Linked DNA regions of Oryzias latipes. The protein of the gene in region 2 interacts with the protein of the main gene of each other region in a pairwise test. Links are inferred from orthologs where the notes say so. Each region holds a gene or a part of one and is shown on either strand. Other genes may lie near its edges.

What was found. The genes of interacting proteins can lie anywhere in the genome.
Region 1: the proteins of ehhadh (region 2) and actin, cytoplasmic 2 interact in binary tests that used the Homo sapiens proteins (3 or more experiments, as listed by UniProt). The two-hybrid records come from large-scale screens. The link is inferred for Oryzias latipes from reciprocal best matches to the Homo sapiens genes EHHADH and ACTG1.

What each region holds. Positions count from the first base shown.
Region 1 is NC_019859.2:22,455,868-22,460,030, reverse strand, and holds the start of actin, cytoplasmic 2, read left to right. Parts: upstream 1-1,363; 5' UTR 1,364-1,488; intron 1,489-2,307; 5' UTR 2,308-2,310; coding exon 2,311-2,433; intron 2,434-2,517; coding exon 2,518-2,757; intron 2,758-3,183; coding exon 3,184-3,430; intron 3,431-3,513; coding exon 3,514-3,705; intron 3,706-3,794; coding exon 3,795-3,976; intron 3,977-4,081; coding exon 4,082-4,163. UniProt on the Homo sapiens protein: Actins are highly conserved proteins that are involved in various types of cell motility and are ubiquitously expressed in all eukaryotic cells.
Region 2 is NC_019879.2:20,083,429-20,086,372, reverse strand, and holds part of ehhadh (peroxisomal bifunctional enzyme), read left to right. Parts: coding exon 1-55; intron 56-500; coding exon 501-605; intron 606-2,915; coding exon 2,916-2,944. UniProt on the Homo sapiens protein: Peroxisomal trifunctional enzyme possessing 2-enoyl-CoA hydratase, 3-hydroxyacyl-CoA dehydrogenase, and delta 3, delta 2-enoyl-CoA isomerase activities. Catalyzes two of the four reactions of the long chain fatty acids peroxisomal beta-oxidation pathway.

The DNA.
Region 1 (4,163 bases), on a different chromosome or scaffold from region 2:
ATTCATTCATTTCTTTGGACAAGTCACATGATCCCAGCAGTGCATTCTTCCCCCCATGTGACATCCTCCGATATCTCCTTTTATGGATGTCATCCAAAGGAACTCTTAAAGGGATGGATAGCCTGCTCTGGCGCTATAATTGGTGCTTGTCTTTCTAAAACAGGATAATGCCACTCAGAAAAGCCAATTCCCTGATCAGCTCATCACTCCAACTCAACCCCCCCACTACCACCACACCATATGTGTCTTTAGCTGCAAACACTTCCTGTGTGCATCTACAAAAAATAAAGCACCATAAAATGTGACTTCCCTTCCCTGCTGGAGAGCAGGCTCCCAAATATCCATATTAGGAGCACAGGGAGCAAATCTCAGAGTCACTAGTACTATTGGTCCTGTGCCCTAATTGAGTTAAAACGCCACCCTGACTAAGCCACTCTTTGTCTTGTCTGCTTACAACATAAGCTTCTAAAGACAGATTTGCATCGCAAAGCTGAATACTACATTCCACCCACCATTTCAGGTTAAAATGCCAACAGGTGCTGCGTAATTCTGTGCACTCAAGTGAGTCATAGCAGGTTGCATATTTTTCATTCAAAGGCGAACACATCACGAAACTGATGAGTGCAAAAGAGGGATTAACAGATTCTCCGTTTTGCTGTAAACCAAAATCAACTTGGACACGCGTATCTTTGTCACTCTGATATATGTGCTTACGTGTAAGTGAGACCGGTACGCAGGAGCACATATTGTGCAGGGTGTTAACACTACTGTCAGTGACCCTGAAACTGTAACCAGTCCAAGGCTGCCAAATACACGTGTCTGTGATCGGTGGGAAAAATTGGATGTTCAAAGATTGACACAATTCAGTTATATAAAAAAAAGTTCCTAAATTGTTACGTTTTTTTTTTGAAGATCTGGTTAAGAAAAAAACAAGTGGACAAGCAAAATTATAGGATTACCTTAGCCAAATTACAGGGTAGATGATAAGGAGTAAACATATGATTGCATGTTTTTAATTTAACTGGACTTATCCCTAATGTGAGAACAACACAACAGAAAAACATGTTTTTAAGCTGATTCTCAAGAACCATGTTAGCAGTTGTAATTGCTGGGTTTTAAGTCACTCATTCAAAAACAATAATAAAAAAAATAAGAACAAAAACAAACCACTTAAAAAAAAACACAGTGACCAATGACCCCTGACACTTAACCCTCAAAATATAGGGGTTACTTTTCACGGTCCTTGTCCCCCGCGTGCCAGGGTGCACGGCAGCTATCTGCATGAGCCACACCCAGTGGATGCGGCGGAGCCAATCAGAGGACGCCGTGCGGAAAGTTCTCCTTTTATGGAGAGGGGCTGCAGCACGAGCTCACATATAAGCCCGCACTTCACAGGCCTTCATTGCAGTGTAGCTCAAACACTAAACTCCGCAGGAGTGTTGCCTTCCGGCGAGAGTCTTCACAAGTCGTGAACCCCCATTCATACAGGTAAGAGGCAACTTTTGACTTTTTGTTTTCTTGCTTATAAAATTTACGCCCTATTCGATACGTTAAAGACCTAAATGTTTAAAGTCGGCGACTTCTGTCTGGCGATAGCAAATTAAAATGTTATGTCGCTGTGTCAATGAATGACAAACTGCTGTCATGTCTGCTTCTCCGTCGTAAATATCCCTGTGTTTGATGCTATTATCATTCCGCTCGTATATTTAACTAGCCGCGTTGACAAGTTTGACCTTCTCCTGCATGCCAGCATCCACAAGGTTTGCGGTTCTTCTGACGTCTCGGGTTTCGGCCCGACGATGAAGGACTTTACATTTGCTTCATTCTAAAGTATTATTTTATACATTAAGCCTTTATTTTATTTTTAATCAGCAAGTCCGTTGAGCTTTAAAAAAACGTTGTGTTTTTCTGTAGTTTTTCTGCCTTCGCTGCACTTGCTGGGATGACTTTGCTTATTTGACGGGTTTAAAGCTGTAGTTCTGGAAAACAATCAAACATTTATGACAGTGATGCGATGTGCTGAGGGCAAAAAAGATTGGTAAGGATGTTTGAAGGGGGTGGCCGTCTGTCGGTGTCATCCGAACCTGTTTGGGACACGGGGTGGTTTCTGGACCGGTCTGCTGCTGCCGGTGAGGCTGCTCTCACTTTTGCCTTATATGGCCATGGTCAGACGGGCTAGAAACCCCTTTTGTTTCAAAGCCCTGCATTTTTAAACTCGAAACGACACCACAGCGACACCCAGCGTCCAGACCCTGAAACAGGACTGTCCAGTGGTAGATGCTGAGTTTCTGATTTTTCTTTCTGCAGAAAATGGAAGAAGAAATTGCTGCCCTCGTTATTGACAATGGATCTGGTATGTGCAAAGCTGGGTTTGCTGGGGATGACGCTCCTCGTGCCGTCTTCCCCTCCATCGTTGGCCGCCCCCGGCATCAGGTACAGCCTTTTTTTTTTACCTGCAGCATAACCCAAAGCCAGAGAGTTTTTGTTTGGGGCTAACTTTAAACTTTGCCTTCCAAGGGTGTGATGGTTGGTATGGGCCAGAAAGACAGCTATGTTGGTGATGAAGCACAGAGCAAAAGAGGAATCCTTACCCTCAAATACCCCATTGAGCATGGTATTGTAACCAACTGGGACGACATGGAGAAGATCTGGCATCACACCTTCTACAATGAGCTCAGAGTTGCCCCTGAGGAGCATCCAGTCCTGCTGACTGAGGCCCCCCTAAACCCAAAGGCTAACAGAGAAAAGATGACGCAGGTGAGGATCCTGAAACTGTTTTCTGAATTGCGTTGCCAGCTCATTTGCAGCTTCCATTCAGAAGCTGTTTCAATCTTTTCATTTTTCATGCTCCATATCATTTCCTCCTGCTCCTCCTTATACTCCAGGACTCTTCTCTCCTGAGCTGATCTCTTTACCTCTGCGGATGTTTTAAGGTTTTGATCTTCCTGCACTGCATCAGGAATGACTCTTTGCAGCATGGGCACAAACTTTTCTGATCTATCAACTGATGTGCTTGTCAACAAATTTAAACAATCACTTTATATTGCTGTGTTCTGCATAACTGTGTGGCTGTGCTCAAGTAATCTTAACTTGTATTGAATTCAGCTGGTGTGGTGGTTATAGTGATCTTAACAATAACTGGTGTGATTCACTGACCTAAGGTCTCCACTGCTCTTCTTCTAGATCATGTTTGAGACCTTCAACACTCCTGCCATGTACGTGGCCATCCAGGCTGTGCTCTCCCTGTACGCCTCTGGACGCACCACCGGAATCGTCATGGATTCTGGTGACGGTGTGACCCACACAGTACCCATCTATGAAGGCTACGCTCTGCCCCATGCCATTCTGAGGCTGGACCTGGCTGGGAGAGACCTCACAGACTACCTCATGAAAATCCTGACTGAGAGGGGTTACAGCTTCACTACCACAGGTGGGCCCTGTTTTACATTTGAGCAATAGGATGTGGAGAGTTGAAAACTAAATATAAACTGCTTTCTTCTGTCTGTTTTACAGCTGAGCGTGAGATTGTGCGTGACATTAAGGAGAAGTTGTGTTATGTTGCACTGGACTTTGAGCAGGAGATGGGAACTGCTGCATCTTCATCCTCACTAGAGAAGAGCTACGAACTGCCAGACGGCCAGGTCATCACTATTGGAAACGAGCGGTTCCGTTGTCCAGAGGCGCTCTTCCAGCCTTCTTTCCTTGGTAAACCTTACATCCTCATGCAATATGGGTTGAATATTGGCACATCTGATGTTGAAAAGTGACGGCTGTATTTTAACTCTCATGCACAGGTATGGAGTCTTGTGGTATCCATGAAACTACCTTTAACAGCATCATGAAGTGTGATGTTGATATCCGTAAGGACTTGTATGCCAACACTGTGCTGTCTGGCGGTACCACCATGTACCCTGGCATTGCTGACCGCATGCAGAAAGAGATCACTGCCTTGGCCCCCACTACAATGAAGATTAAGGTATGGAGACTTGAGTTTGCGCACAAAGTCTAAAGTGCTCCATCTAAAGCACTTCAGTGTTTTTTTTCACTACTGTACTTGCTAACTCCTCATTTATGCTTTTAGATTATCGCACCTCCAGAGAGGAAGTACTCTGTATGGATTGGCGGCTCCATCCTGGCTTCCCTGTCAACCTTCCAACAGATGT
Region 2 (2,944 bases):
CAGCGCCTGCCGAGGCTCATCGGTGTTCCAGCTGCCTTGGATCTCATCACCACAGGTGGAGCAGCTAAGAGTACTTTGACTTACCAACAACAAACTTGAATGCTGAAAAAAAAACTGGTCATCACAAGTAACAATAGTAAAGTCTGTTTGAAAAAGATTTTTCTTTAAATAATAAGGTTTATGAAGCATTTGAAGGTAAAAGATTTTGTCCGTATTTTCCGTTTGACTCTTATCTTAAACTTGATTTATCTTGCTTTCTAGAAATCCACTTACATTCAAACAAAAACGTCTTATTGAATAACTACAATTTGTTTTATAGAACTACCATTTAGCACCAGCAGGTGGCAACCTTTAAAACTAGTAAACCGTTCATTATAATTCATCTTTGGCTGGGTAAGCTGAATTGATTGTGATGTTATTTTTTGATAACTGCTTTATTCATCTGTAAAAACATTCTTGTTAACACTTTAAATAGGATGTTTTGTGTTTTTGTCCCACAGGCCGCCACGTGACCGGCGCCGAAGCCCTGCAGCTTGGATTAGTCGACAAGGTTACTGACAGAAACACTGTGGATGAAGCTGTGAAATTTGCTTTGAGTGTTGCAGGTGAGAGGCAATGGGGGGGGAGGGGGGTACTTACTAGAGTAAAATCCAACCCCCCCCCTTGACTGGTTTAAAAATTTACTCTGTGGAAGAACAAGAAATTCCTTCTACTGGAGTTATTTTAGGTAAACCTGTCATCAAGGCACCCAGTCATCTCTGCTGTGGAAGCCAAAGGAGGCAGAGAGACATGTAAGGCAGATCCACCACCACAGGAGCCATGAATGTTTCATGGTGCTGTCAGATGGGCTCTGATGTCTTCACTACATTTGCTGGATTATTCAAGAGGGCGAAAAGCGACAAACTTTTGTAGAATTTTAATGCAGGGCCCCCACCATTCATTTAGGAGGAAAAGAGCTGCGGCACGCATGTGAGCCTGACTCAGTTGCAGACGGAGAGGAGTCCTGAAGTGTGCCATGTCCCCACAGTTTAGGAAGAAGGATTTCTTGGTCTGTGTGAAGACCGCCCCATTCAGCTTTACTCGCTTGTAATGAAACTGACAGAGCACCAGTGGGCATAAGAAAACTGTGTTATTCCCCAAACCAGTCAGAGCCATTTAACATTTTAGGGCACTAACTAAATCTTTTCTTCTTCTTTTTTTTTATCAAAGCACATTAGTACTTTATCTTTTACCAAGGGCTAAATCATTTTTCATCCCTCCTGTGTGTCCTGAATTATCCACAGCTAAGGTTGCTCCTGATTCCACATGAAAGAAATTTGAAATGAAGTCTTCATGACTGAACTGTAGGCTTCAAGTTGTTGTTATCTCGTTGTTATCCGAGCGGTGACAGCTTCTTCCGCAGACGCATCAGTGAGCGCAGTGCCTGTTTGTGTCTGATATCATGCCCGTGGCAAAAAATCTTGTATCTGTGCAAAATGTCAACAGTTAAGCCTGTTGAATGGCAAGTCAAACATCATTTTTACAATCAAAATATGAAGTCTTCAAATGTTGTTGTTTTTTTTTTCTTATTTCCCTGCACTACATGAGGACTGAATGTCAGAGGAGGTGAGTGTTGATAGTAAAAGCAAGACTGTTATAAAAAGAACTGAAGAGATGGCAGGAAATCAGGGAAATTCTGGCAGATTTTACATCCTTGTGTTAGTTAGGAGGGAAAAATGAGGACAGGAAATGTTTTGTTTAACGCAAAAAGCCAGCAAAAATGTGTGAGACCACAAGATTTCTCTTGAGACCTGCTTAGATGCTATTCCAGTGAGCATATTTTATATTTAACTTTGTTTTGGTTTTTTTTGCACAATGTGAAGTGTGCGCTTACACTGATGACTGCGTGCTCACTCTCCCAACACTCATACACAAATGGATTTAAGTCTCACTGGTGACTGATGAGATTATGGGACTTTTTTTAACCTCAGAGGTTGCAACATCTGCCCACTACATCTGTCCAGACAGCTAGGATTCCCATTCGCTGTAAATCCACAGCTCGGCCATTTACAGATTAATCTGCTGCAATAATGCCTCCTAAATTACACTGGAACCACTGCACTGCAATAAAACACCTCCCTCTTGTTAAAATTGTGGGGTAACATGCATAGGAATGTCCAAAAAATAACATTTACTCAGTATTTTCTTTAGAGATGATAAATGGTAACACAAAAAATAGTTTAATGCTGGAAAACTTAGACAACCCATCAATCAGATTTGACTGCTGTCCCTTTAAGCTTCACCATGGTGACCCATTTTCTGGTCCAGACCCACAGCTGAGTGTAATTCAGTGAAGCTGTGAAAGATTCTGACTTCTGTCTCATGTAATCACATCAGAGAAGACAGCGCTGGGATTTCAAATGCTTTTATTTTTAACAAGGTCTTAGCATAGGAGCCATTAAAGTTGAAATCACTGAAACCTCATGTAAAGATTCAATGAGGAACAATATAGTTTTTGGGAAAATGGGCTGGAGGTTTTTTGTTTTGGTTTATATAGAAAAACTAAAATATTGATTCTTTATTCGCCTATTTTCCTCCAAACTGACTCATTGTTTTTCGTTTTGTTTGAGATATTCGGTATTCAAGGTGAGCTGTGTCGGTTCATTGCCAAAGCTCCTGCAATTATCTGGAAATAGCCTGTCAAATCGGCCTGCTCTTAGTGTCTGCTGGGATACCTAGTTATTGAGGAGAAGAGTGTGCCTGAAAACATTCCCACACCTGAGCACCAGTTAATAACTGTGTAAAAAAAATAAAGCACTGCCAGTGGGAAGTAATATGCTCATTTGATTTCACAAACTTGAATTTTTACTTTTGCATATTTTCAGAAGTTGAATTATGAAACACATTTCTGATCTACTTCTAACTTTCTTCCTCAGATCAACCCCCTAACTCCCGTCGTGTAAGC